Struthio camelus: one gene and its partner. The protein of the gene in region 2 interacts with the protein of the main gene of each other region in a pairwise test. Links are inferred from orthologs where the notes say so. Each region holds a gene or a part of one and is shown on either strand. Other genes may lie near its edges.

The links.
Region 1: the proteins of MOCOS (region 2) and PARVA interact in binary tests that used the Homo sapiens proteins (3 or more experiments, as listed by UniProt). The two-hybrid records come from large-scale screens. The link is inferred for Struthio camelus from reciprocal best matches to the Homo sapiens genes MOCOS and PARVA.

The regions. Positions count from the first base shown.
Region 1 is NC_090946.1:25,102,229-25,118,292, reverse strand, and holds the start of PARVA (alpha-parvin), read right to left. Parts: upstream 7,710-16,064; 5' UTR 7,695-7,709; coding exon 7,554-7,694; intron 7,498-7,553; exon of another isoform or gene 7,328-7,497; coding exon 7,245-7,327; intron 7,216-7,244; exon of another isoform or gene 7,175-7,215; intron 6,955-7,174; exon of another isoform or gene 6,950-6,954; coding exon 6,738-6,949; intron 1-6,737. UniProt on the Homo sapiens protein: Plays a role in sarcomere organization and in smooth muscle cell contraction. Required for normal development of the embryonic cardiovascular system, and for normal septation of the heart outflow tract.
Region 2 is NC_090943.1:70,330,460-70,345,727, forward strand, and holds the start of MOCOS (molybdenum cofactor sulfurase), read right to left. Parts: upstream 8,176-15,268; 5' UTR 8,086-8,175; coding exon 7,956-8,085; intron 1-7,955. UniProt on the Homo sapiens protein: Sulfurates the molybdenum cofactor. Sulfation of molybdenum is essential for xanthine dehydrogenase (XDH) and aldehyde oxidase (ADO) enzymes in which molybdenum cofactor is liganded by 1 oxygen and 1 sulfur atom in active form.

The DNA of each region.
Region 1 (16,064 bases), on a different chromosome or scaffold from region 2:
AAACCTAATGCTGCAAGGCCCAACAGGTGACGAACAGCTTCAAGCATGTCTGAGTTGTTATTTAGGTATACCTCGGAGAGCGTGCATCTAGAGGGCTATTGCCATCACTGCATAAGCAATGGTTGGGTTTTCTGTCTACACTGCCAGAAGCATTTCAGAGGCAATTATCCATCTTTCTACTGAGCAATCCTTTCAATGGTCAGAACAGAAAGACCTCCCCAGATACCCCCCAACAATCTGGGTTCAAAGGAGGGAAACAAAACCGCAGTGCTCTTCTCTTTAGTACTTTCTTTTCCTTCCATACACTGTAGATGCGCTCAGAAAGGCTTGTAATAATTAAATGACAACAAACGACGCAGATGATTCTTCCCTCTACTATTTTTTTCACTTTCCATGTTCCTTCCACCTAACAGAAGTATTTTATCTACTTTACACAACTTGCTCCAAGGCAATAATTATTCCAAGGTGGTACTAATAGCTTTTGTCCACCATCAGTTAAACAGGCAGCTATGATGCCTGTGGCAGCACACCAAGAACATGGGAATATGTAACACAGTTTACAGGGGAAAGAAGAGTATAAGCACATTTCAGCTGCTACACATTAAGCCTGGAGATAAAGCACATTATGTCAGTCATCAAAAACAACCATTCAGCTATTCTAATAGCACAAGAAGGCCTAGGGTTGATGCACTGATATGCTGCAGTAAAAATGAAAATTCAGAACTACTGATTTATATAAGAGTGATGGCAAAACCTACCTCAACCCATTTCTTCTTCATAGAAAATGCTACATGCATCTTTGAAGCATTGCTATGAAATCTGCACACGCGGGCCCATTGATTTTCTTCATACTATATGTTATTACCAACATATTTGCTAATATGCATAGGTAAGACACAGCAGTTCTTCTTTCAACTTCATTTGCATTTTAAATACAGCATCAGGTAGCAATAGTAAAGAAAAAACCTGCAAAGCATTTAAGTTAGTCTAGGATCTCTCACATGAGAAACAAACAGATGATGAGCAAAAGATAAGTCCTACTGTTACAAAAAACAGCCCTTTGTATCTATAGTGCACTACTCTGCTTAAAGAGAAGTTGCAGAAACAGGTCCAAAGAAAATAATTCAAAAATCTCAAAATTCAGCAGAATGCTCCTTGTATACTAACAAATACATTTCTTTCACAGTACAATGCACATACATAAGCCAGATCAAGGTATGACTTCTCTTTCAGAGAGTCTCACAACAAGGCATTTTAGTCACTGATTCCTTAAAGACAAAAATTTTTATTTAAAATAGCTGAAGAGCTCTCATCACCCTACGCTTATTTTTAATTTGTAGTTGTTCCGATTTTTATATTATTGTTAGAAATGTGCTATGGTAGCAAATGGAGACTAAGAAATTGAAGGGAAATATCAAGAAATAGCAAATCTAAAATATTTTATGCTGTTAACATCGTAATTTTCCCTCAGGCACACACAGAAACACAGCCTACTGTGACCTCACATACTGAAATGAAATAAAACCAAAACATATGAAGGATAAAGAAGAAATATCATATAAGCGGAAGCTAGAAGAAAATTCATTCCTTCTCTTGCCCATCAACACCAAATAAGCTAGGAAGAAGAGCAGTCAAATTACTGAAATTGATGTCATATCAATCGGAAAACTGACCAAGCCCATACAATGGGCAGTAATTGCTCTCTACCCAATTCACAGGTCCAAGCTGTCTGTTTTCCATCTGCTCCTACGCAATTTAAGCAATTCTGAACTTCGCTCTCTGTTTCTGAATGTGTCACAGATTTATTAGAGCGTCAGGTTCCAATTCTTAAGATTCTCTACTAAGGTAAGCTATTATGAGGAGCTAAATTTGTATGTCTATAATTGCCAGGCCAGGAAAATTCAAGGAGGGCAATCACATATGACCTTAATGAACCCACCATGAAAAATTCATAAGATAATATAATATACAACCCCACCCCCAAAAAAGAGGTCATTCTGTTCTCTCCTTGCACTTGTATAAAGATATGCTTAGTACACAATACAAAGTACTATGAGGAGCTTATACTTTTTTTTTTTTTTTTTTAACTTGTGGTTGGCTTTGGCTAGTAAAATTAGCTTCACTATGGCTCTTACCTCCTGATAGACGAAGACTGGAATCCTTCAAAGGCATATATGGGGTGGCTTAATTTTTGAACACTTCTCAAGAATGAAAGGGACAGAATCTTACTATAAGCTAATTCTTGCTTATAGTTGCTTCACTTGTAAACAGGTCATCAAATATTCTAGTATTATCTCAGTATTTTTTGTTGCATTAAAAAGGTAATTATAGTAAATTTAAACATAGTTAATCATTTGTAGTTTTTGTTCCTTTAACAAAATGTATACACTATTTAAAGTTGCAGTTGTTCATGCCCTCTCAGGAAAGACTAAAGTATGATGCTCTTACCCTTGAATTACACCAATGAAGATGAGATACTGTAAATAAAATCCAGGCCACAGCCCTGTGTGACAGAAGATGACCCAAGCAGCTTTGCCTTCCTCACTCCCAGATTTTATATTTCATAAATATTCTCTAATAGTTAATGACAACTTATTTTGCAAATTAACATACATCCTAAGGCATGACTAATCCCTACTTACATCATGAGCGGTATCTCAACTAACAGAATCTCAAGTTATTCTCTTTGTTCTGTCCTGGTATAGAGTACAATAATTATCATATAATATATAATAGATATACAATAGATGATCAGCCTTTTCTCTGCTGTGGTAGGGTGTGTATTCTCTGCTCTGCCAACAACTCGTACTGCGTTATTAGAGAATTCACTTCACTTCTACATTGCTCGATATTCTCATCTATAACACGGGTGGAATAATCACCACTGCCAGGAACTGTGAAATTCGTAAGGAAGGACTTGCTATATGAAAATGAAAGGTATTACCAAAAATCCGTTTTATATTGCACTGTAAGCCACTTTTGCTACATGTAAAACTACACAGATTTTATAAATAGCTTGCATGACTGTACTATTATCACTTCAGATCCTAATGGCTTTGTATTTGGTAGAGCATTCTGGCACTGGCTCTATTATTGTGATGTATAAAAATATTGTTTTGACAGTTAACAATGTCTGTTGATGGCAAAAATACAAAACCTAATACATACAATTATATACTTCTACAACAGTTATCTAGATACATAAATAAATAGTATTAAAATGTAATTAGTATGTTCCCTACAACAGATAAAACATTTTTGCATTATTTAGAAACATTAACTTTTACACCATATGATAAAAGGCCAAAGAAAACCAGTAAGTTTCTGTCCTCTATGTAATAGCAGAGCTTATATCAACTAGAAGAAAGGAAATTTTCAGTTACCCCTTATTTCTCTCAAGAGCACAAGCCTCAATGACTTTCTTGAGCAACAGCTAATCTCTAAGACCCAGGTGTGCTTCTGAGCTTTTGTTTCCAGGTATGTAACCTGAACGTGGTCTGGCTTAATGCAGGACTGAAACAGAGTGGCTGCAACAGCCCCTTTGTTGTCCCTGAAGGCATGCAGGTTGGAAAAAAGCCATAGCACGCACCAGCCAGGCCCATAAACCCGTTGATCAGGAGATCAGGATGACAGAGGCATCCTCTGCATCGTCTACATTCATCTAGAAGAGGAATACTTGTTCCGTTGCCTATACATTAAAGATAATAATAAACTGCAATAAGCAGAATTTTTGACTCATGAAGAAATACTGACGCAGCTGAAATCTATTATGCAGATTTACTCTACTATAGCATACTAAAATCACAAAGCAAGACTAACAGAACAAGACTTGTTCTATTGCCTATGCATTAATAACAGCAATAAACTGGAATAAGCAGAGTTGTTGACTGATGAAGAAATACTGACATAGCTGAAACACAGTAGGTGAATTTACTCTACTAGCATACTAAAATCACAAAGCACAAGGCTAGGTAGATAAGAAGGAGAAATAAATAACCTACATAGCAAAAATACCATTATTTCTAAAAAGTTATTAACAATTTATAGTATTTAGGGACCTTAAATAACTAGAGATCAATGTTCACATTCAAAATGAGGTAGATATCCATAGCAGACTAACTAGGTTAGCGAACAGGTCGAGATGCTATGGAAAAAAAATGTGAAGAGAAAAGGTGCCATCCAAGAGTACCTCATTCTAAGTTACAAAAGCTGAAGGTCTAAATATGGCCAACAGAAAAAAAACATTTTTTCAAATCCCTATGAATAATCCCTTGAACTTTTTCTAATATTTTATATGTGTTAACAGTTGAACGATCATGTACACTCCTATAACTGAGACATTTCTCTGTTATAACCTTGACGTTAGAAAGGTCTTTAAAGCAGGAAAATCAAAGAACAGAGGCTAGACCCACAAGCAATCTGATCTCCTATATGAAGGCTGTAGTTTAATTTCAAATATGCCTGAGTCCTACAAACTCTGACAGTACAACATAAGATGGAAGCCATATGCATCACAGCCTGCAAGAAATAACGTGGCTCATGAATAGTGTGCAGACCCGTATTTATTTGTAGGAGAGATTAGGAGGCATGAAGAAGAAAGGGTTCACTGTAAAAACGTATTGGCTTTAAAAGTCATTACCATTTGAATCTGCTATTTAAAAATAAAATAAAATAAAATCATTCTCACTAGTATAAAGCCATACCAGTACATGTCAGTCTCACGTGCTTCCAATGAAAAAAAAAAAAAAAAGATAAGTAAATAAAAGATACATTCTTGAATGTATCATTAGAGTCTTCCAAGATCTTTCCAAGAAAGATGCTATGGAGAAATTAATGAAACATTTTGTCTCCATCATGAAATACTACAATATTCTCACAAAGTTTTAAAAAAAAAAAATCCAAACCACTGTGATTTTTTAAAAAGCTTTAGGAAATTGGGAAACACAAAGCACATCATCAATGTTGTTCCAAAATGTTAAAAGGGTAAATATTAACTTGATGAGACAATGAAATAGCAGGTGTAGATTTTAATAAATTTAATAGAGACACAGAAATAAAGACAAAAACTATGATTTCATGGAACACATTTTTTTAAATAAGATTACAAGATTGTGAATAAAAGTAACCGTGCTGTCTCTGACAGATACCTGTAGATTTATGACATAACACTGTGGCACTGATAAAAGTAGTATTGTCTGATAGCAACACTGGACATGCTAAATCTACTACAAATAGGTTAAGTTAAAAGTCTCAAAACATAACTACAATACAGACACATCACAGAAGATTGTTTCTAGTGCATTGCTACTAGAGTTCATCGATACTCTTACAGAAATGGCATAAGGAAGTGGATCCCTAGTAAAGTTTGCCACTATTCACTGTTTCATAAACTTCTGGGCCAACTGCAATGAACAGAAGCTTGAATAACATCAGCACAATTGCGTAACGTATTTTAATAGAAAAGCAAGACTATGCATCTCAGAAATACAGGTGATGGCTACAGCGAGGGGCTCACTCTTCAAAGTAAAGTGTTATCGTCCTTGTCCATGGCATTAGCACTATTCTGAAATACTTTGCCAAATTTCACTCTCCACATATATATCAGAAATCAGGGTCTGTTGAGCATAACTCTTTTTTTCTTGCTTAAGAATGACAAACATTAATTGAAAAACTGTTCTGAAGCGGACGCTATTCTAGCTCCGCTTGCATCATCAGTTGCAAAATGACGGGTGAGTGAGGTTAAATTCCAATTCTCTGTCTCATGGGATTTTAAATAGGCAGATTCAGTAGGGCCTGGATATTAATTCACATGTACGGACAAAGAAAGAGACCTTTGTACACGCTCAATCTTCTTCAAAGGATTACTATCACGAGGCAAAGGTTTTCAGCTCAGTCTAGGAACAACTGGGTTAAAATTTAAACCTTTAAGGAGTGAACATAATCACATCATTCTCTCAGAGCAATGCGTTGAGAGCATGCTGTACACCACTATAAGTCGATACACTGCAAACCAAAGCAGACATAAGCATCTTTAGCCTCACTTTTTTTTTCCTTCTTTTTAGCACTACAGCTTAAAAAAGTAGGTAATCTCAAGCAGGCACCGTGGGGTGCACACGCCGACGCAGCCCAGGGGACCTCTCCTCGCCCGGATGCAGCGAGGCGCAGGGCACCTCCGCCGGGGGTATCACACCGGCTTTTGAGGCGCTGCCTCTCTGTGGCGGCACCCGCCTTGCGCTCCCAGCACACATCCCGGCACCCAGACCCCTGCCCGGCTCACGCCCCGTCCTAGGGCGCACCCCCGGGCCCGGCGCCGCCCGCCCTGCCCGCAGGGCACCGCTCAGGCCGCCGCGCCGCACCCCGCGGCCCGCGCGCGGCGGTTGGCGGTGGCGGCGGTTGGCGGTGGCGGCGGTTGGCGGGCGGGGCGGCGGGGGGAGGGGCGGCGCGCGGCCGGGCCCGCTCGGGCCCCGCGTTTCCCCGCCGTGAGGCGCGGGCAGGGCGGCGGCGGCGGCGGCGGCCCGGGCCCCGCAGGGCGGCCGGGGAGAAGCCGGGGGCAAGGCGGCGCGCTCCTCCCTCGCTGCTCGCCTGCCCACCCGACACGTCCGTCCCAAGTCAGCCCCTTCCTCCCGCTCCCCAGAGCCTTTTCCTCTCCCCCCCCAGTCTCCTCCTCCTCCTCCTCCCACCCCCCATTTTAAGGTAACTCCCAGGAAGCGTGCAAACCTGTAAATTTTTTTTTTTACCTTCTTTGGCTTTTTTCCTCCTTGCCAGCGTGCCGCCAAGTTTGCCCAGGAAGGAGTCATCTTTCTTTCTAGACGGGGGCGATTTAGGGGTGGGGGATTTAGGAGACGACGGGGACTTCTGAGGGGAGGTTGCCATGGCGGTCCCAGCACCGCCGCCGCTCAGGGATGAAGGGAGACAGGTTTGGAGCCCAGGCGGAGCGAGAGGCTGGCCCCTGCTCTAAACGGAAGCGGAATTATTTCAGGCATTTGAGGCAGCTCCTGCTCCGCTCTCCCGCTCTCCCTCTCCTTCCCTCCCTCCCTCCCGCCCGCCCGCCCGCCCGCCCGCCGGGGAGGGCCGCGCTGCCCTCGCCCGGCCCGCGCCCGTTCCCTCCGTGCCCCCCCACAGCCCAACGCCCCCCCCAGTCCCCCGACAGCCCTGTGGTCCCCCTTCCCCCCACCTCAGCCCAACGGTCTCCCAGGCCAGCGGCTCCCGCCCCCCCCCCCCCAGGCCCCGCAGCCCGCCCTCACCCCAGCCTGCTCCGCTCGGGGCTTTCAGCCCGGGCGGCGGTTCCTCGTTGCGGCTGACGGGGGGTCCCGGCTGCCTCAAGGCGCTGGAAGAAGGGTTTTTCTGTCAGGGGGAAGCGACACCCTCCTCACCCGCCCTCCTGCCGCACGCTGAAACATCGCCTCGTTCAGGCGAGGTGGTCACCCCCGCCCCCGCCGCGGCCTTGGCTGGCCCCCACCAGCTCGGCGGCCCGCGGTTTGTCCTCCGACTAATCGAGCAGTGAAGTGCCACTGAAGAGCTTTGGGCAGGTCCCCGCGCGGGTTGCCACGTACACTCCAGCCTTGAGCCAATTTTGGGAAGCGGGCTGTCTTTCTGCCCCTGTACCTCTGTCGTTGGAGGTGGGCATCGCGTTCCCCCTTTCTGCCAAAAAAGACCTTTATTAAAAAGAATGTGAAAGAAAGGTTAGTGAGCATGATAAATTATTGCCTGTGCCAATCCTCTGTTGATTTGCAGGTGAGCTGCTTAAGAGAAAAGTATGTTTAAAACAGGTAATTGGCTGTGACTGGTTCAGGAGACATCTAGGGCTGGAACAGCATTAATGTCATCTGGATGTACTACTTCACTCCCCTCTTAATCACTCGATTAACAATTTAGGCAAAAAGCCACACACACTTTATGCAAATATCTAGCTATCCATTAGACATAATAAGAGAAATGAAATTACCATGAGGATATTTCTAAATCAGCTAATAATTGTTGTTTTTACAAGCCAGTAACAATGGTTATCTGATGAGGGATAGACACCAATGAGTATTTGTTGTATGCAGTTAGTATATGCCCTAGAGAATAATTTCATTCACCCCTACCACCATTACTTAAAACCAGGAATCAACACAAGCCGTTAAGAGACTCTCACGTTTCCTTAGGTTTGCTCTCTCTGGCTTCTAGCACTGATTGCGCGTTTGGATTTTGTCTGCAGAATCTCCCCACCTTCACACATTACTCTGTTTTGTTAAGAATTGCTGTTCATGCGCTGTATAGATTAGGATACAAACAATTCTGAACAATTTTTTTAAAAACAATGAAATATAATTTTAAAAGAAAGCAAAATAATCATGTAGAGTCCTTTCTATATACACACATGTGAATCTGCAGCATTTATAAACAGCAATGACACAACTTTGGACCCAAATACTACACACAGACGTCCATGTAGGATTTTGTGGGCACAGCAGAGTAGGATTTTGTGGGCACACAAATCTGCTTGCCTTTGTGCCACTAAGTTTGGTATTAAAGGCAAAAAGAACAAATCAGATATTTCAGACAGTAATGTGCGCTGGGTTATACAGCATGGGAAAATCAGAACTCAGCATGCATTTGCCAAGTCACACACCAAATAACTTACAAGTCCTAGTATCTCTACTCAGTTTTGTTCCATACTTTTTTATACCTAGCATATGTAAATTAGATATCAAATGTAATATTCCTTATTTAATAGCCTCATGAGCTATAGGTAAGGATTTAACATCACAAGCAGAAAATATATTTTAAAGGAAACTCAATGTGCATTTAAAATAACTTAATCTGATTTGGGAACAGAAATACTGTAATGCCTTGAGTAATAATGCTAAGGGGTCACTGCAACAGACTTAAGTTTGTTGTGTTCTTTAGGGGCTTCTTTCTGAATTTATTTGCAGTTCTCTTAGGTATAACATTATTGCAGGGTTTTTCCAACTTATGATGATGCTCTCTGAAGATAGTTACAACACTCCTTCTCCCCGCCTTGTATCTTAAATTTCCAACTACATATGCTACTTTTTTCTTTTGATCTGGAAATATATATGCACATATGAGCTTAAATTAATATTGCATTCAGCACAAAACGCCATATAAGTACACACAAGGTCTAAATTATGGCAGATGTACAAATGTTGCTTTTGAATGCCTAGTTCCTATTTCTATAATATTTTAACCACAAATAAAAGCTGTAGTAATATAGATTCGGTGGAGATTTTTGTTTGTCTAGGTTTTTGCTCTGTTTTACATTTAATAAGTGAATACTTTCATGATCATGCTCCATGATCCCATGCACCAGACACAATAGTCAGTAGGTTGCCATTCAGGCTCACCTCACTGCATCCAGCATATAGAAATCTGGAGCAGGCGATCAAGAGCTCTCACCGTGCTTCCTGTCAGCGCCTTGTTCCTACAGATGATCCAACCAGTAGTTCAAATTAATTGTATCCTGATCACATACATACTTTTGCCAGGCAATAAAAGGAGGCTAAATCCACAGACTTCAAATGCATTCTTACTCACCTTCATATCTGTCCATGCACACCTGTTTTCTATTTCTTTTACTACAGAACTCAGAGTGATCACAGATAGAATATTACTTCCTGCATGAGGTGGAAGAGACAGAATACATAATATACCAGCCATGGTCTAGGCTAATAAAAATGAGCACTGCAGCAGCTGAAAGTATACTCATAATCTGAGATAGCTGACTCAGGGGAGAGAGGTCAGCCCTGATGTCATATCTGGTTTTCAAAGTATTTCTTCTGTTATTACACAAGTTTAAGCCAAGCTAGTTAAGGCCATGCAATAAATTATCGATTCTTCTTGATCTGGAGTTCGACATTTTTCTCTTAAGTACACTTCTGCTCTAGCCTTTTGACTCTGTGGTCTTTTAAACAATAACAGTGGAATTTTCAAAAATACTCTATTGCTCTACTGCTATTGCAGTATTTGCCTACAGTAAGACTCTTCACTGACTTCATAAAGAACAGAATTAGACCAAAGTCTACTCTTTATATTTTTCTAAATGTTTGCAGTCAACCATCTTCTCATGTGCCAATTCTATGTAGTGAACTGCTGAACATTCACATCCCTACTCCCCAGGCTGTGTGTTAACAGCACAGTAAAGGATGGTTCTTAGAGAAGACGACATTGACATTTCCTCACAGGCTACTTTGTGGCTGTTTAGTGTCTATTTTTTGATTGGGATTCAAAGAGAGGCTGTTAAAATTTAGGACACTGGTAAATAAGAGCTTTGGTAAGCTTCTCCTTTCTTCCACATATCTCAGCCAGAAGCTCAACAATAACAAGCAATTGAGGCAAGTATGAAGGCTCCTTCCTTTGGCTCCTCCCAAAAACTCTCTTTTACAGTGCTGGCAACTCACATTCTCCCAGTGCAATGCCATAAACTTTCCTCTGCTTTCTTGTGCCTGTCAGATACAGGAGCACCAGCCACCCCTGTCCTCCCAGGGAGCAGTTGTCTGTGTTTCACAGGGTGGCTGAGCAATATTACCTCTCACCTGCATCCCACTGAAAGACAACACCACGGCGTCTCTGGGATGGCTTTTCCTGAGAGCACCCAAAAATCTCTGGAGGGAACAGCTCTCACAGGACCTGGCTGTATCCATGAACCAGACATGCTAGGTGCCTGTTCCCCTCCAGGGAACTAACGCCTTGCAGCCTGTCCTGGTGGCACCCCTGGAAGTTGAGAGGCAAGAACTTCAGGCTTGTACTTCAAGAAAGTGGTTTTGTATTTCACCATGAAGCCCCCTTCCCTTCCCCCCCCCCCCACTCCTCTTCACATGGCTGCGTGCGGTGGCCACCTCTGGTACTGTGCTGGGAGAGGCGGTGCTGGGAGTGGACCACAGCACAACATATTGCCTGGCTGGTAGTCTGCGCAGCCACATCTCCTGTCCCATACCAACTCAAGGCAGGTTATGTAGCCCATAGGACCTTGTTGCATATGATTTCAGCCCCTAAAAGGCCAGCCCAGGGTTGACTAATCATCCCAGTGGGGGCTACGTTATAACGGCAGAAAGCACTGCTATCAGGTAGCAGGACTCCAAATTTTCACAGCCACCACCATCTCAAACTCACACTTGAAGATAAGTTTGTTTCCAGCTCACAAAGTGAGTCTTAGATTGAACCTATGCTTATGCTTAAATTTAAAATTGAGCTATGCTTTCTAATTAACCTGTATCTTCTTTGGGTTAAGAATCTTCTATTAAAAAAAATAAATAGGATAATGAATAATAAATATATTATTCATTAATATAGAGTTTCATAGAAGTATTGGAATATCTCCAACTAGATCCTTCAAACGTACAATATATTTCTATATTGCACATTAAGGACCCCAAAAGGTCAAACATAGACTTAGTAAAGAACACTGTAGGTGCAAGACAAAAGACAGCATAGTGTATACACAGATCACACATAGAGATCAATTATTTGGAAAGTTTCAATGGAAGGAAATTGGTTTTGAAATTTTTCAATGAGATAAGAACATTATCCTGGCACTTAATGCTTCTGGTAATATGTAATTCTGCCAATCAGTTGTTTATACGTACTAGGCCAGGTTTACATGAATTTACCTCTGGACTTGTTGAGACAGTTTCAGAAAAATTAGGCTCATGATTTTTTATTAATAAGCTTTTGTATTCACAAGAAATGCCCTTCTCTTGTCTGTAGCTTTGTACATCTGTACTATGTGACTATACCAGCAAACACCTAGCTGGCACATGAAATCTCTTGCCATAGTTCATTAGAATCAGCAGAAGAAACCATGCGGAAAAAAGACAAGTTGTTCATAAATACTAGACAAACAGATTTAGGTGAAATCCAGTGAATACATTACTCATCACAAGGTATTTGTCAGGTTCCAGGTTTTGGAGATACCATGACTGCCATGAAGACTGTAGGGATAGTATTCACATACTAACATGGTAAACCCATCATGCCATACTATGCAAATAACTGTGTGGTCCCTCCAAAATTCAGCAGACAGCTTTAGATCTTAACAGTAGCAAGGTCTTAAAAGACAGACAGAATCTCCAATCTGCTAAGCCACATCCTGTTACATACTTAAGCAGGAAAAAAACCAGAGTATATCTTTTTGGAAGGAAACTGCTAAACTAAAATCAAATTCAGTTGAAATCAGATATGCTCCCTGCATTAGGTTTGAAAATAGTGGTTGCAAGACATAAGTCTGTTACGTTTGTTGCCTGTGCCCAGAGAAATCTAGCCAAATACCCTTAAAATCAATGAGGCATTCTCTTACCTTGGGGACAAATCAACTGATCTCAAGGCATGTGATGGCTTACAAAGTCTTTTTCTTCAACATCTTGCCCAACTGCCTTTCTCTAGAGCCATAATCTTTTGGAGGGGGTCAGAGAGAGTGAATAATAGGGGAGCCTCAGTAAATTCCAATAGGCAGATTTCTACCCCTATTGTGCTCCTGGGCCGGCCAAGCTCCCCGGCTGCCAACCAGCTGGCTGAGCAGTCAGCAGGGCTGCAAAGTTTTATACGCGTACGCGTTTAAAAGTTTGACTTATTACTTCCAATTGCCATGCAGGTGGGTGATTCCTCTGCAGTCTTGAGGATTTATGAGTAGATTATCAGCAGAACCACTACCATGCCCACCTGGTAAGAAGGACAAGGACATGACAGTAGAAGACAAAGCTCAGCTCAGATGTGACAGAAATTACCTGGACCTTTGAAGAGCAGCTGCCATCCACCTGTCATCTGAAGAGGAGGGAAGCATCGATCAATTTGGAATTGCTGCTAAGGGGACAATGGCGCAGGGGCTAACGTAAGCCCAAATCTTGCTTATCTCTTCTGAGGCAGTAACGTTGTCTTCCTCTGCGAGTCTGTCCCACTGGTAGAAAACAACAGATTAAGAGATAGCCTAATAGAAGTAAAGTTGGTGGAATATGAAAATCAGCAATTAAGGTTTTGCTCACCAATTCTTGATCTGCGCAGTGGCCTTTTTCCTTCAGCTCAAGGAGTTGTCAGTTTGTATGTAATGTCTAAGGAAATTAGGTGATGAATTACCATGTCAGAAATTAAAGGAAGTTGTTGATCTCATGGGGTTTGCATTTTCTTGTTAAAGGTCAAGTTGAACACTGTCTAGCAGCAGAGTGCCATTATTTCTAAGATATGAAGTGCCAGGTAAGATAGTGCAATTTACTTACCAGTATATGATTAGGAAAATGATATAATTTCTTACCTATAGGTCTTTCCTAGACATGCATTATTCCTCTGTAGATACTGGAGGTAAGAAATTATTACAGAAATGACTCAGGGACTTTAGAGAGTGAGATACAATTTTATTTCTTCAAATATAAAACTGCTCACATCTAGTCAGGTTAGATACAGCCAATATGTTGTAGCACATCATATTATACTTGTGATAACAGTGCCAAGGATTTAAAAATAGTGACAAAGATTTAAAAATCAACAAATTCCTTATAAGTAAGTGAGTCAATTTACAGAAAAGATTGAACAGCAAGAACACTCATAACCAAACATATTTGTTTAAATGCATTTCTAACGTAAGCCAGCCATATTAAATTGAGCTGTGAACAGTGTACATAGCTTCTCTTTCTTTTTCCCCTCCTCGCCTACTCTCATAATGTACAAAGATCTACTTTAAATTACCTAGAGCTTATTCTTCTCCTAAGTCACCTGCACTCTTCATTTTTGGACTGAATCTTGTGAGCACATTAGTGTCAGGCGGGGCAACAGTAGCTACGCAGGACTTTCCACCCAAGAGCCTACAGACACACACAGGAGACCTGCAGTTTTGGGTACGGCGTGTATTACTACCACATATCATACAAGAAAGTAACTTTTAAAACAGAGACTCTTCTGGGGGTCCATAAGATGGTGATGGCCTTCAACTGCTGTTGCCTTTAATACTCTCAGGGACCGAAATCCTTGGAGCTAAAATGAAAGAGTCTGTTCACACCTGTCTGTCGCCTGGTTTTACAGCAGAGCAGGCATCTGCAGGAAACTGAAATGTCAGGCTTATGCACCCTCAGTCGTGCCATGTGCCCACACAACGCATGTGATGTGCCATGTCCTCGCGTCGCCCTTCCTCCTCTTCGGAGGCCAGCAACATCGACTAAAACAAAGGGATTTTTTTAATTGAAAAACTGACTGAAAAAAACAACCTTTGCTGATATAGCTGGAGGTGGCTGTGCTGACTTCCCCTGCTGTCCAAAGCACTACGAAAAAGAGTTTGACTCACAAATTTAAAAAATGATCTTGAAAGCATTATGGCTCTCCATTTTCTACAGCAGAATGACAGATATGCTAGTCAGTATTATTTTACTGGATTACATGAGGCTTCTGGGTACAGCGATAAAATCCAGAGAATTTCTTCACAACACTAGAAATGCCAGCAGATTTCAAAAGAGAGAAAATGAAAATGTGTATTGCTGTCCTGTCTGTTCCTACTTTGTGTCAATCTTAAGTAACAGAGCTAATTTAAAAATCAGTCACTGCAATCCATCTCTGTAAAAACGTAATCTAACAATCACGTATGATCTGCATAGGAATGACAGAAAAACATGGCAGAGGATAATTCTGGAACCCATTCTGGGATTCTGCTGTATCTTTCCACTGTGAAAAAAAGACAAATCACATTGTTAAAGCCCTACATGCTATGCCATAAGGGTATTCCTTCAGGTTTATAGTAACTGAGAATGTTGTTTAAACCTCAATTTATATTTTTGTTCCCAATTACTTACCAGATTGATAAAACTATCTACTCTACAAGGCACAGCTTCACCTATACATACCTGCTAGAAATACATTTTTGTTTATCAAAACCAGAAACAACACCCAAAGTATAAAATATAACCAGACACTTATTCCCTTTAGACAGTCTAATAAATAGATATAAAAACATAAATATTGCAGAACAACAGTATCTTCCTTTCACCAAGAGGTATATATATTTTTTTTTATCTGTGGACAATAGTAAAATTTTGTTTTTATCTTTAAAAATATATTTTAAATTTATTACAATACATCAGAAACTTAAGATAATTCATAAACTACTGTGATAGGATCCAGTGTGTATGCCACCCTACAAGTAGTCACCAAGAGGTTTAAGCTTAAAGCTTTTGTAAGAAGAATGCTTCCAACTTTGGCTGTACCACAGGCAGCTGTAGCAAATAAGCACCATTCAGGAAGTAGTGAGAACAAAAAAATCTTCTCAGTCAGAGCATGAGGTAAAATAATAGTCAAAAAGAAGCAGTCTTCTCTCTCTCTCTCTCTCTCTTTTTTTTTTTTAAAGTTTGAAAATGTAGTGGATCATACATTCAGTTGGGAACGCTACCAATCTTAAATTGCAGAATTATCTCAGATTTAAGAAAGCACTTAAAATATGCGGAATAGTAAGGAGAAGTTTTGCACATCTGCTATGCCAAAGGCTATAAATGCATGTACAAAGAGATGAGATATTTCCTTTAAGTTAAAAAAAATCAAAATACAATAATTCTGAAAAATATAAGTGTACATTCCTCTTGAGCAGCAATATAAATATAGTTTAAATATAACCACAACATTTTCTGTCAGTGCTGGCATTACAAAATTCAGCATTTTCAGCCATGCTTTTGTGCAATTATTGTCTCTTGGAGCAGTCTCTAACTGCTACACCACTCATGGTACCCTACGATACTATCTGTGATGCATTTTACCAAGCATGCCAACTGTAAAGCATACCCTATAAATACTAATCAGTTCTGGATTGCTATTTTTAAAACATTATTCGGTATATTTTAGGGACGACCTTAATCTGTAACATACAGAGAGCTTTTCTGAGCTTTTAACAGTCTTTTAAGGGGAGTCACCTCTTTGATATTCTCTTACCATTTTCCAACATGTAGGGATTTAATATTGCATTAAATTCTTGTTCAAAAATATACAGTGCACTAAAACTTACAAATGTCTAGAAAAACCTAATTTCTGACATTGCATTTACAGTAGTTATAATGATTACTTATAATATATGTAATTATTCAAAAGATCCTTCCTCC
Region 2 (15,268 bases):
CGAAATTAATTAAGCCTGACCTCCTACTGCTTTGTGGCCTGTCTTTATGCCTCCCTGACCTACTATACCCCCATTTCTCCATAACTCTTGACACCCTTTCCCCACAGTTCTCAACACAACCTTGTCCTTAATACCTCCACAAAACATACCTTCTCCTAACAAATGTGATAGGAACTAGTTAGTCTGTGACTGGCTCCAAATCGTTTGTGTACAGGTCAGTATGCAGACAGAGTGATCCTATCAGCACTGTTAATTTAGAAAGAGGAAAAAAAATAAAAATCCTCAAGTTGACATGTTCATAAGAACAGTTCTTTTCAGGTCCCTTTCAGTCTCTAGCTTCCATAGGGTATAAAGATAAAACAAGAAAACCCCACCCCATATTTTAGTATCAGATAAAAGAAAATACCTGCCTTGAATGTTCAATTGGCTTTTGCCAAGACAATCTATTATAAAAAGCCCAAGACATTTGAGAGCTCTGCATGCCACTTCCTAAATATCTTCTTCAAGTCAAGCTTCCTACTAGCCTCCTGCTCTGCAAATATATTGTGTTGTTTACCCATTTATCAGCTTCTCATATCAGTGCTTTTTACTATGCAGCACTTCGCAGTAGGGTCTTCCTGAACCTAATGACAAAGTCTTTTCTCATCCAAGTTTCTCTGCAGTGATACAAAGTATGTAATGAATCGAGTTTAGCAACAATAGCTGACCTCTCACCTCTCCCTTTGTCTTTTTGTCCTTAAGACTGGGAGTACCCCTGAATGAATTCTGGAGAGCACCTCAGGTAGGGAAGTTGCTCCCACAATACATAATGGAAATCTCAGGATTTCCAGGTTCTGATCTTACAGGGTAAATCCCAGTGTAAGTTCAGGGGGATCAGAAACAGATTACATTTGTCTGAAAACTTACATACTTTCTTTGATGAATAATCTTTAATCTCATCTTTAAAAAACAAAACAAAACCTCATGAACACAGAATGGAAATACACAGAAATACACTCTGAAGAAATCCACACACGTATTTCTTACGGCAGCATCATAACAATGGAAGAGGACAGGAGACCATAAGAAGCAGCAAGCACAGTAGAATGAAGAATCCAACCATCACGTGGAATTCTGAAGGACAGATTTTCTGCATTTCCAATTTTTCAGCTAAGAGATAAGAAAGCATCTTTTGCTTTTCTAAATAAAACATCTCCCTGTTTCAATACTTTCATACACACTAATACACATCTTTACAAAAGTTACTTTTAGAGATAAGGCATCTTTTAATTAAAAATGTAATTATTTTTTAATGAATGTCTGATACCCTGTAACATCCACAGTAGTCCATAAAATATCTTTCCAAATCTAATTTTTTTTTAATCTCTATATAGAGATGTAAATGTCTCATGTCTGTATAGGTTTACTTCTTTTTGGAAAGAATCTAGTCCCAACTGATCAACTATGTATTTCTAAAATACCCTTGAAAACTCTGAGTTCATGTCAACTGTATCAGATTTATAGAGTTTGGTAGTTTATCCGCTTTTTTCCTCCAGATGACTATATTCTAGACAGGGTTTGGAATTTTAAAAGCCTAGTACTATGTGGCACATGCAATTACAAAGCCAGTGTAATGGTGCAGTGAACACCTTTATATTGGTATTATATTGGTATTCTGTGATTCTGTGGTATTACAACACCAAATCTGAAGTTAAAACTGAATTGTACATACTATTCTGTGTAATCCAGTTCAAGAAACAGAAGACACCTGTATCTCTGAGGGTCTTTTTTCCTCTCAAGTAACTAAAAATTCCTTCAGTGCCAAAATATTACAATGAGTTAATATTATTAACTACTATTTACTAAGAGCTATGCCCATCACAAAGAGCAAAAGACCACCCAGCATCAGGTAGTCAAGTTAAAAATCAATTCTACACAAAGCAGACCACTGATAATCTTTTGAATCCTGATACGTAAGGTAAGAAATTCCCCAATAATATCTATTAAGCCTATATCTAGTATGTCTATATAGCTGGAGAAAGAGAGAAAAACATCTGAAACTGAAATAGTAAAAGTTAAGACATTTCATACTAAATCCACTTTATATTCCACATATGGTTCCTCTTTAATACCGATTCTTCCGACAATGGCATATGTAGATAACTACTGCTGTATCAAAACCAACAGGAAGCATGAAGACTTTACCAGAACACATGTATTGGTGTTTACAACACAATTATCACGTAGCTGTGCAATTACACTACCCATAATCACAGCTTCTATTTAGGACACTCTCCACCCACTAAATCCATCTTCCTTGGAAGTCTTCTGGTGTTTCAAACTGCCAAACAGCAGCTGCCTCCCATAAACAGTTTTTCTTGCTTTCTTCTCTTTCCTCTTCCCGCCTTCCCCGCCCCCCCCCCAAAAAAAAAAAAAAGTTTCATGAAATGTAGCTACCCTGTGACACAGGAGCTACAGAGATACCCAGTCCAGGACAATAAGGACAATAGCAGGTGAAGAGCCAGAGATCTCCCAGCCACTGAGAAGAGAACAACAAACCTTGCGTAGAGGTGGGAAGGAGCTCTCAGCTTTTCAGTAGCAGGTATCACAGTTGCTTCTACTCTCCTTCTCTAGCTAGTTCATTCTGAAGCATTTTCAAAGTGATGATGTTTTCTTACGTATTGATAAAAATACTCCATACGCCTAAAAGTATATCTGCTATAATCTTCCTCTCCTTCTGAATCCTAAACTATGAAAACTAGCTTTACAGAGAAGTGAAAGAATTTCTTCCCCTAAAAGTGTGTTTTATAAAGGAGTGTTATTTTTTCTCCCCTATAACGCATATGGCTTACATACACTACAAGACAGAACAAGGGGATATAAAGGCTATACTAGCATGCATTTCGGATAATTGCTATAGCTCACTCCTGGTTTACCACCTGCACAGAGTGCAGCAATTCCAAGTCCACACTGCTAAAATCGTACATTTTCACTACATTATATCACTGCTTGGGCTGAACTTGTCCACTTGCAATCTAGCCAAAGACAGGGATCCTGCATATTTGCGCTCCAACTAATGCAGCTCAAATGAAATCTGCTATTTCTCTTCCTTGCTCAGGAGCAGAGCACTGTGGAAGAAGTTGACCTAGTCCTGCCACAGCCTGTCTCTCGCAGCTCCCACGACCAACAGCGTGGAGAGTCCTCCCAGACTCTACCAAGAAATGAGAAAAGTTGGTTAGGTAACATAAGCGCCCGAGGGAAGCAACCTCTGTCCTCTCTACTGCCCTGTCCTGTGCACGGGGCACATCTTTTTTGTGCGTCATATGTATAGCACTTGGCAAAGCCAGTCCACTGACAAAAGCCTCCAAGTTGTAAGGCAAACAAATAGAAGCAAACTCAAAGTTCAACTGTTGTCATATTTCATGGAATACTTGTTTTTCAGTTTTTCTTTTTTCAAAGGGAATTGAAGACTCCTAAGTGTGAATCAGAGGACCATAAGTGCATGTAACTGATATTTATTGACAAAAGAGCCTAGTGAAAGTTTTCATTTCGAAGTCTGGATTTTTAAGCTTTTTCATTTAAACGTCAGAATGCGAGGTTTAGAATATTTTTTCCTCTGTTCAAGACGAGCTAGAGGTGAAGTCACTCGTGAGACTTACTCTCCAGCACAATTAGCAGCTCTTTCAGTTATCCAGAGACTCCTGGTGGGGCAAAAACGCGGCCTCATCTTTCCCTCTACACACTGTTTCAGCTGCCTTTGGACAAGAGAGGTAAGCACTAGATTTTGTTTGCTGATTTCAGCAAACAGGTGAAACCATTTTACCTTACAAGGAGGCAGCGTCTTTCCCAGGACTGTCACTGTGTGGCCAGGGGTGGGTGGCTGGGCTCCAAGGAACTCACAATCAAGTATTGCATGGGATCATAAATTGCCACATGCTTTGCTTCTGGTTCAGCATAGAGCTTAGAAAACAGTGAGTCAAAATAAACATTATCATTATCAAACCAGTTTTTAAACCACATGTTGAAACTTGACTACTGCTAATTCATGCTCCAAGAAATTAAAAACAGAAGTTATTACTGATTAGCCAACAGTCACTTAGTCTTTGCCAAGAAATTAAGAGATTAGAAAGGACAGATTCATCCACAGGAAAACATATGAATAATCAGCAAATCAGCAGAAACTAACATAAACACAGGTAGCAGAAGACAGCTCCCAAATCAAATAACCAAAAGGTCTTTGTTTAAAAAAAAAAAAAACTCTGTAGTTATTAAAAAGGAAAAAAAAAAAGTAGTGATCAGAAGGCTACAAAAATTTTTCCTAAGAATTAAAAAAACAAACAAACAAACAATCCAGAAAACACCCCAAACAGTAGCCCAGTAGAATTTCTGGTTTGACAAGGTAACCAGACTGCCATACCAGTAAAGAAACTGAGGTCACACCTACGTTTGCAATCAATAGGTGAGAGCAACTTTTCAGACTCACAGTACACTCATCTTCACAAGCTTCATAAAACGACAGCATTGGCTGTCTACAAAATTACTCTGAACTGACACACTAGAGTGCATTTCTTACTTCTCAAATACAGCAAAAACATTGGATTATCCAAAACTTGTGACAAAACAGATATGCTTTTCTGGTCTCAGGGGAGAGAGCTGACACTGCTTCTCTAATGACCTCTGCTAGCAGATCCACTGAGAAGCAACTGCAATGCACCGAGAACTGCTTATGCCATTCTCATTCTTAGAGGCAAAGTCTCAGTGCAAATAATTACCAGGAACATAAAAAAAAAATTTTGTTTACAGTCAGATCAAATACCCAACTATTTCTTAACTGAACAGTAGAATAAGCTCATGTATAGGTGACCAGTTCATGGGACATTAGTTGAATATCAAGGAAATGAGGGCCAATTCTATTACTCAAAGCTTAGGGGGTTCTTTGGTTTTTTTGTTCTTAAACAGGCAAGTTGCATTATTAGTAGCAGTTTTATACAATCACACATATTACAAACTCATACTTCTACTCATGGTGACATGTGATCTGTCACATGATTACTACTGAATGTACTTTTACCGGTTTTGCATTAAACATGTGACAGTGCATTTCGTCTTAAATAAAGACTATCTTCAGATAATCAGCAGCCCTTCAAGAATATGTGATCAATAATATGTACTGTTTTCTATTTGGGGGGGTTATCCTTTGCTCATCACTCTTGGAAAACTCCCACTGAAATGAACCCAGTTACCTAAGACAAAAATACAGGAACACATCCAAAACGGGAAAGGTATTTTGGGATCAAATGCTGCAGCACAAACCACACGTCAGCTCTTTCCTTTATAAAAACGTGATACAAACCGTAGCTGATATTTTCTTTGCTATCATAAAAATCACAGAGGCATATTCATTCCCATTACTTAACAACAGAACCTATAAACTCCTGCTGATTTCTTTACCCATTTCTGAAGAGTAATTTACAATCCTACGCTGGAGATAAGGGTATGTTGTCCACAAGATTAAAGTCAAGGTCACATATTGTGCATGCACTGCTGCCTGTAAAACAGGGATCAGTTTCACCGACTCCACATATATTTGTGGAAGGGACTGCTGAAGCCCTCAGCTAACAGCCCTTCAATTACAAAAACGAAGATAAACTCTGGCTTAAAAGGGAGAGTTTAACGCGTCTATATCAACACCGACAGACTCCTGCTGATTCAAGGAAGTACAGTAGTTCTTATCCCTTCACAGCCTCTGAAAGGGAATCCCCACGCACTCGCGATGAGCCTAATTTCCTTCTGCTGGAGCCAAGGGTGAAACTCCCACAGACACTGACAAGACACCGTTGTTAAAATCCTGGATTTATACTATGGCCAGCAGCCGATATTCTCTCCCTACACACACACACACACACAAATTATACCTCCTTCTCAATAGACACATGCAAAACTGCTCATACTAGAGCAGTGGTATAGCACCATACGGTCAGAGGTTTGTGATGCAGAAATGCTCTCCTCCTTCCTCAGAGGGCCCAGTTTACTGGCACAGAGGTCCCTGGTGGATACAACCAAATACCAGCAACCGACAAGAACTGAATACACCGACACGCCAAAAATATCATCATCGCACGCTGCTCTTAGGAAAATAACGCTTCCAAAACAGAACGTTAGGCTTATTTCGTGAGTATCTGCAGAGGGACTCCACACGTTCTGTTCACACGCAAAGTCAGCAGCAAAATCTCGATTTGTATGCATCTTTAGTGACAGAAAGGCATGTTCCAAGTATAACTGATTGGGCATGACACTACTGTTGTTAACCACGTAAAAATAGAGCTCATTGTCTCTTTTGCCTGGTGTGACTATTTAAAGAACACTTTACTATAAGGGATTAAATTGAGACATCTTGTTTAGTAGGGAGACACCCAGCAGAGATAAACCCCATGAATTAGCTACTGCTTCCTTTGGAAAAAAATCAGTGTTTGTACAAGCAGGACTTAATGATACAGCTGACCTGAGTGGACCAAAGGTGCAAATCCCCTACTTCACCCCCCAACACGGATGTCCTGGGAGGGGGGTCACTGAAAGTGCTGAGGTGGATAAACACTTGGAAGCCCTACTAGTTTCTTGTATGCCACTTGGAGAAGGCTCCTTTACCCACCGTGGCTGCTGTTATCCTGGACATCAATCACCTTCCCTTCACCATTTTTCAGAAAGGCAATAGAGACCTAGAGCTTCAAAATCCCTTACAGAACATCCACGTCGCCATGTGGAGACCTCCAGCCAGCAGGAACATAGCTACGCCGCTACAGAAAAGAAGGCCAAAGAATAAGTCCAAGCACTGGGCTGGTGATCCACGCTGCCCTGCTGTCAGCCAGGCCCTGGACTCTCTTCTAAACTGGTCCAACTAGTAAACCCAGAGATAAACATATGAGGCAGGGGGAACCTGGCCTTACCCCCTGGGCTCAGGGATCTGTCCCTGGCATTGGCACTACAGACGTACCTACAGATACAAGCTCTTGAACTAGCCACTCCTGTTCTTAGGGCAGGAATCCCAGAGAGGGCGTATAGCGATCAATTAAGGATGCTGATCTTCCACACAGAGGGGACTTGGAGCTTTTAAAACATAAGTAAGACTATTTATGAGTTGGATAAAGTGGTAAAAGTCTAAAGTTGTTCTCTAAAAGAAAACAATGGGTAGAAGAAATATGCAACCGAGGTGACCTTGCCCTGGCTAGCACATGATTTCAATCAGCTTATGCTATGACAAATTCTATTCTATATCCCATGTTTGTTTTTTTCTGGAAATATTCCAAATTATCTGCCACCCATGGCTCACTGTAATAAGTTACCTGACTGAAGTGTAACTCAGTAGCCAACATTACCCAAAGGTTTCTCAAACGGAGGTCAACTGCTGATGCTCTGCCATTGCAGTGACCCCCACTCGGGAGCCCCGGATGGATCAATCCGGGCAGAATTCACGAGACATGCTGCATTTCCAAACCGGCCAGCCTCCTGAGAAACACGTCCCCTTTTCAAGGGGTTTGATAAGCCATCTGTTTAAGTGTCTAAACAATGTTTCAGTTTTGCCAGAATCACGGTCTCAATTTATCACAAACAGCTCCTTGCTATCAGACTTTCACTGGCCCAGCTAGCATGACTAATATCAGGCTTCAAAATCAAGTTGTAGAATCTTAATAGCACCGAAAGAAAAACTCATCAAAAGCCTGTTCGAAATGCGGTTCCCACAGTCCTTTTTGTTTGCTTGCTTGTTTCTCGAGGCAACACCTGATTTCATTTCTTATTCGCAACACCTGCGTGAGAGCAAAGCCGCTCTTCCAGCCTTCCACGGTGATTCAAAGAAACGCCAAAAGGGAGCAACAACTCCTCCCTCGAAACTCTCTGCGCGGAGACCCGGCGGCAGGTGCCGCGCAGCGAGGTCCGCGTGCGCCCCGCGCCCCCTCCCCGGCCCGGCCCGGCCGCGGTACCTCGGAGCCGGGGGAACTCGCGCTCCCGCAGGCGGCGCAGGCCGCCGCCGTAGCCGCAGCCGCAGCCGGCGGGGCACATGGCCTGGGAGGCCGGGAAGGACAGCAGCTCGGCCCACGGCTCCCCGGCCATGCCGCCGGAACTGGAGGAAATAAATACAAAGTAAAGCAAGACCAAAAAAAAAAACCAAAACAAAACACTTTTTTCCTGACGGCGCCGCCGCTCCGCCCGGCCCAGGGAGGGAGGGAGGGAGGCAGGAGGGGGCGGGCGGCGCCGCCTGGCCCGGCGCTTCCGGCAGCGCCAGGACGAGCCCGAGCGCCGGCGGCGCGGAGCGGGGAGCCCGGCCCGGCCCGGGGACCGGCCGGCTGCAGCCGTCCGCAGAAAAGCTTCTGGCTTAGAGCATAAAATATCCGCATACAGCGACACACAGAAGCGGGGAGGGGGGGAATCATAGTCAATGGAAGTGATTTTTTTCAAAAACGAAAGAAAAGGTTTTCCTCCTGACAGATTATACTATTTGACAATGGCTTTTTCTACTGGCCTCCCGGCAATATACACTTCCATCTGCAGAGAGGTAAAGGGCTCCCACTGTAACGATAAAATAAAACTCTACGTGTTGCACAGGACAGGCTCTTGGGTCAGGTGTTTCAGAAATCTTACCCGTTTGGCTAGCAATGGAGCGTCAAACTGCCGAGGACAAACTTCAGCCCAAACTGAACCGCAAAGATTTTCACTTATAAAGAGATACTGAATAAAATCCACGTAAAACATTCTGAAATACACCTGGCATATTGGGAGATTTTGCCCCCTTTTAAGAACAGGGCCCTGGCTAGGAGGCGCTGAGGAACGCTTCTCTAACACCATAAAAATATGGGGTTTTTTATCTCTGACTCTGCCTACGTTCAGGACTGCAGCAGGCAGGCAGCGCTCTGTGTCCCATTCCCAGACTTTGTCCCTTTCTGCAGGACTGGCCTTGACAGCACCACTACTGCGTCTCACAACAGTTTGCTTGCACTCCCCCCCCCCCCCCCCACCACCCCGAGGCCAAAAGCAAAAGAAAAGCAAGAACATCCTCATACCATCTATATCATCTACTATTTCACTTTGATGTGATGTATCAAAGTAATGTAAACATGTTCCCATTTAAAATATTGCCCCCATAACAACTAGCATGTACCACATGAAAATTTTATTTACCCTGCCATTCATGCAAGGCTGAGTTTTAAAATACATTCAGAACAATAATTAAGACCTTTTGTCATTTCTTTTGATGGGGCCAAATGTAGGAGGAAAAGAAAAAGAGGAGAGGGGAAATGCAGGAATCCAAATATGGCTTTTTTCAGTGTAATTAACAGTTTAAAAAACTGAGTGTATTCAGGAAATAGCAAGGGTTGCAACATGCCTGAAAATGGTCTTTGGAGCAAGGGGCATTTTCAAGTTTTTCCCGTGGAAAATTTGAGTATACTACTATTAAAAAAGCTACAAATTACTTTCTGAAACTACTTCAGGAACGGTTCCACACTGTCTGCGCATCGCAGTAACTTGTGCCAGCATATCCACCCATAAGTTTGCATCCCAGCCCATAAATGCCACTTGGGATGTAACCGCTCCTCCCCGAGACGAATAACTAAGTACATACACCTTAACTTTGTCATAAACTTCACTTGAAAGGAGCTGATACCACATTACTCAAGACGACTTTCAGTGCAATGCTCAACCAGTGCTACGGTCTTGTGTGCGAACGTCGCGCGCTCAGGATTACCAAAGGACCCTGGCTGGAAACGGGAATCCCAGACAATTTCCTTCGGCCCACAAGGAGGAGGAGAGCCAGGCCTCTTTTCCCTAGCACTTCTGCGAGATACGTTTAGTAGACGTGGCACACACCCAAAATACATTTTGGGCCTAGCCAATGACCTCCCCAAAGCCATTAACCATTCCTTACTCATTTTCTTCCAGGTAAACAAGACTCCTCTATAGAAAAAAGAGGACAGTTTGCCATCAAGTGGAGGAACGTTTTTAGCTGATCCCTAGGCACATCACTTTTTTTTTGCTGTTTTTGGTAAATACCAAATATCTTTTTTATTTTACTAGTTTATGCATCGCAATTTAGAAGGCCCTGTGCCATCACTATGGCTTGTTATTGCAAATGTATGTTGAAAAGACCTTCCAGGGATTTTTCCCTCATATTTCTAGTTTCTCGTTATCAATTTCTGAAGTAATTTATTTATACTGATTGCTATGTATAGTTCCATCACCATTTTCATTTATTGTTTATTTCAAATTGTTGTTATTAAACCAAGATTAGTTTCCCCCGCCAACTATCCCTTTTCTTGACTGCAGAATGCAGCTTTCCGATCGTGTAATAAATTCATTTCAAGGAACTCTAATTTCTATTAAGAAAATATTTCCTCTCAATCAATTTCCATCACACTTTTTTCTCCGTTTTGGAAGATTAGCCCCTTGAAGGCACCACACATATAGAGCTAGTACTAACTGCGAACTGCGTTACATGTTCAGTGTAATCTGGTCACAGCTACTGATCTCTGGGGAACTACCAGTTTCTAGTGCAGGGCTTCATTCATCTTCATCCATCATAGAGGCCAGAATAAACTTTCCTAACTAACAAGAGGCATTAAACTCCCTCTATATCAATTTAGAAATCTTTGCGTTTGAAAATTAGCATAACTCATAAAAATTCTAATTTGATCCTACTGCGCGCTCCATTTCTGAGGCAAAGGCTAGAGACTGCACGAATTTCCCCACGAAAACATGAGTTGGTTTTTCTTGATCTGCACATTGCAGATTCATGGTTACAGAGTAACTTCTCCTCCTCTCTGGCTAGCAGAGGAGACCAGGGGATCACTCTGCGTAAGCACATTAACTAAACTATATACTTTGGTAAGCAGGTATTGCCTAGAGAGTCACGTTCACAAAGCTGTAAAACGACAAAAGGCCGTTATCAAAAGGACCGCTATACACACCTACCGGATACGCAGACTGCGCGCATATCCCCCTTTTCCCCCCAGCCCTGCATTTTTTCAGGCTCTTTCCTTAATGAAGGCTCAGAAGCAGAAACAGAGCAATTTAACTTGCTCTTCCCAAGTTTTAGCAGAGCGAAATAAAGCCTCCGGGTAGTCTAGTGAGTAAGTTTCTTGCTTCGTAAATGTTAACGTGCAATACTGCCTTTCTCTGGAAAACATTACAGAATAAGCAAAAGGATTTTTTTTTTTAAATCCCTTCTGTGCACTGTGACAATGCTTTCCCGCTGCCCCCCAGCAACCGTTCAAGCACCATAAGAAGCAAGAAGAAACAGCCTCCAAACAAACGTTTCGCAAACAATTCAGATTCAAAAACACTATACGCTTCTCTCTCTCTAAAGGGGTTGCACTGCCCTGTTGCAGCTTTATGGAAAAACAGTGGGACTGCAGTATTTGTTGGTTCTTTACTGGCTCCAAATTTCAAGCTGCAAATAATAAACTGTCACCGTAATATAGCTACCTGATGGTAAGGTGTGGAGAAGATGGGGGGCGTTCAGTGGAAGGACGAGAGACAATCGACAGGGAAGTGCCAACTAGGAGCAAGTAAAAACCATTTTCCGTGAGGGTGGTCAAACCTCCCAGGTTGCCCAGGGAGGCTCTAGAGTCTCCGTCCTCAGAGAGATTCAAAACTCGCCTGGATGCCACCTGCTCCACTGGGACATGCTTTGCACAGGAGGTCAGACTGGAGGGGGTCCCTTCCAACCTTTGCCACTCTGTGATGGCACATTGCAATGGCCAGCCAAGTATTTCCAAATAATTAAAATTTAAGCATGAGCATCAGCTCCCACATAATTTCGCAAACAAGAAAAAATTGTCTTGTAACAGGAGCATGGATTACACAACCTTTTTCTGTCCCTTCCAACCCCTTTTTTGGTGACTGCATTTTTAAAATATGTCCTACCTGTGTACAAACCAACTGAATAGCGCTGTATACACGCAGGGTCTCCACCACTACAAATATGCAGGAAATGCAACCTCACCTTCCTGAGAAAAGAGAAAAGAAAGACCCCCACCTCTCTGGCTTACTAGACCAAGCAATAGATCATTCATGCTGCTGAAAGAATTTAAGAAACAGCGTCATGGAATAGCTGAGGTTGGAAGGGACCTCTAGAGGTCATCTAGTCCAACCCCCCCGCCCCACTTATTTGGGGTTACTCTCCGTCATGCCACGGGTCTCTAGGAACCGGCCCGCGTGCTTTACAATGACGACAGCAATTGACGCTACTATACAAAAACACAGCACATCACATTAAATGCAACCGTCATACACTTCCAGTCCTGAACGCTGTCACACCTTGCTGACTTCACCACTGCGAGACTGTCCCGTGACTCATCTTCCAGCCTCCCCCTTCGACAGGGCTTTACTGGTAACACTAGTACAAAATACCCAGGCGAATGCTGCAGAAAGCCAGCAGCTCGTGCTCTGTCCCTGCCAGAGCTGTCTGCTGTGTAAACAGAAGAGATTATCCCTTCCGTGTAGCAGTCTTCAGTACAAATTAACAAAAAATTTTGAATGGGAGCTTATAGCCACGACAGGTCGTTCTGTTAAATGTGTAAGCGGCTGGGAATTACCTAACACAAAGCATACAAAATACTAAGAACCAACGTAACGCCGTATAAACAAACACTGCGAGAAAGATCTTGGGATGGAGAGGTTTTGCTCTGGGGAAGTTTTTTCTTTTTTTTAAAACCTGCCGAAAGCCAGATTCTGCTTCTTCCCTCCACTCACACCAAAAGCACTAGTGGAAATGAACGCCACAGTCATTTAACCATTGCACAGAGCTCAGCGCAGACACCTCCTTTGCGGTTATGTTTTAAGACAGACATTACAAGCTTCTGACAGCCCCGTTCACACTCGCAGCACACTTGGATGTCACGTAACCTCTCTCATCCATCCATTATGCACAAACACAATCATCAGCCTGCTGTATTCTTTCTCATATTGTGTCCTGAAACAATCCAATAAAGATTATTTTGCCCATTACGGGGACATCCTGATGCGTGTGCACACTGCTCAGTCTCCGACCAGTTAACCAACTGAAAAATGGGTTATGTCAGAAACTAACACAGCAGTTTACTGACTGTAAACACTTATTTATTGACTATAAGGAAACCTAATTTATCTAATCCACTCTATGTTTATAATTAACTATGAGAAATCCATTTCGCACATAGCCCTTTGAGCCTGCCAGGTATAAAAAGCTGACAGAGCCCGCAGGGCTGAAGTCAAGATTCCAACTTCTGGTTTATCCCTGTGCGGTAGCCGGCTAAAAAACGAAAGAAAATCAAAGAGAGAGAGAAATGTAATTGCACACAAGGAAAAACCTGAGTTATTGTTTCACGGACAGCCGACGGTCTCACGTGCGCATGGATTATTGGCTGTAATAATAAAAATGGTCATCTTCCGCCTCAGAATTAGGGCTGCTGATTATGAAATCTTTAGACCGTTGGTCTGTGGCAGTCTTCCACTCATAACGGAAAAAAAATAATAATAACCTTTTGCACAGACAACCCCTCAGCAATCATGCTCCCGTCATAGTAGCAGCAAGCAGGAAAATACAGTGTTGGGGCCACAGGTGATCGATTTTAACAGCAGAAAGTGTTTCAGCAGTCGAAGGCCTGAGCACTGCTCTGAAGCAAGCTGGCAGGAGTGTTGCCATTAGCTGCAGCGAGACACGGAATTTGCTCCTAAAGAACTTATTAGCAGGAGAAACATGTTGCTTCATTCCCCCTTCTCCTGAGGTGGGCACGATTTCCAGGCAAACCCAGATCAGCAGATTGAGCAAAGTCCGCAGCTGGGAGAGCAGCAAGGCGGTCTGGGCAGAAACACTGCTCTGACCAAACCAGCCCTGCACCAGCCTAGCAGCCCCTGCGGGACCGGGTGGCCTGCCCCGTGCCCTCTCCACCCTCCCTGCTCGCACCAATACTCGCAGTTGCTTCGTAGCTTCGTGCAGGGTGTGCTACCATCTCCCCTGCTCATCCATTTCCAGCACACCTTCTCTTCTACTTGTCTTCAAGTTTGGCTAATCCTCTCCTGCCAATGGCAGACCTACATAGCTCCAAAAAACAAACAAACAAAAAAACAACCCCCCACACACAGCTATCACGAGACTGGAAAGGAATCCCTCGCTTGCACTACTGGTGTGGTCTAGCCCATTTCCACCCTCCTTTTCAGGCCTGCGCTTTTCAGCTGTAAACTCTAGGACAGAAACCCTCTTCTTCTACTATTACTCAAAGCATTTGTTCAGTATTTGACGCAATCGGCCCCTGCTCCAAGCCAAACCCTCTTCCCCATGCTAACTGAGGAGGCCGCGAGCACCTGACAGCATCTGGTTTAGGCCGTAAGCACCAAGACTTAGCAAAAGTATTTAATTCCTGCAAGTGTTGCTATAAAACTTTATGTTCAAAGGGTTTAACAGTTATTAAAATGATTCATTGCAACGGCATGACAAAGCTTTGTGTTGCAAACTAGAAGCCAGAAGTTCAAAGGAAGACTTGATCACATAAGCCTTCGCTTTCAAGAGGCTGATTGTATTGCAAATATGACACACACACACACACACACACACGTTTGACAAACAGTCGTTAGCCCGGCTCTCATTAAGTCATTCCAAGCTGGCGGCCTAATGGCTAAAGCAGATTTCTGTGGAAAAAAAACATTTTTTTGCACCCCTTGTCACCCTGAGAATTAGATGAGGCCACCGGAAGCAGACGTGAGGTAATTATGGAAGTAAACACAAAAACAAAAGTTATTTTAACCAGAGGGACCAAACCCAACCTCACAGAACCTCACACCCGTAAAGAGCCCAGAACTGAGGATGGTTTGGGAGGCAGGTTTCACCACCTGTCTGCCCATCCAGACGTGGTAGTTTATCACGAGACAGTAGCTGCAAATCAGCGCTGCGCACCAAGAAAAAAAAATCAACATGAATGAAGTAGCAAAGGCTAGTTTCAAAAACATAGATTTCATACCATGGGACATCCACTGGGAGGATAATTTGTAAATGCATGCAGCACGCTAAAGCTTTCTAGTTTTAATATAACACACCCAGAACATATAAACACTTTCTATCTCTGACAGCATATTTGGGCTACGAATGTCACAAAGATATTTCACGCTGAATTATTAAAACGGATTGAAGAGTCGTAATCTTGCCGGTTGAGGCTTAGCTATACTGACTTTAAATGGCAAACAGCTTTCTACAGTTACAAAACCCCAAATATTTCATATATCACACACAAAAATGCAAAGATTTCTGTACGGCATGATGGATACA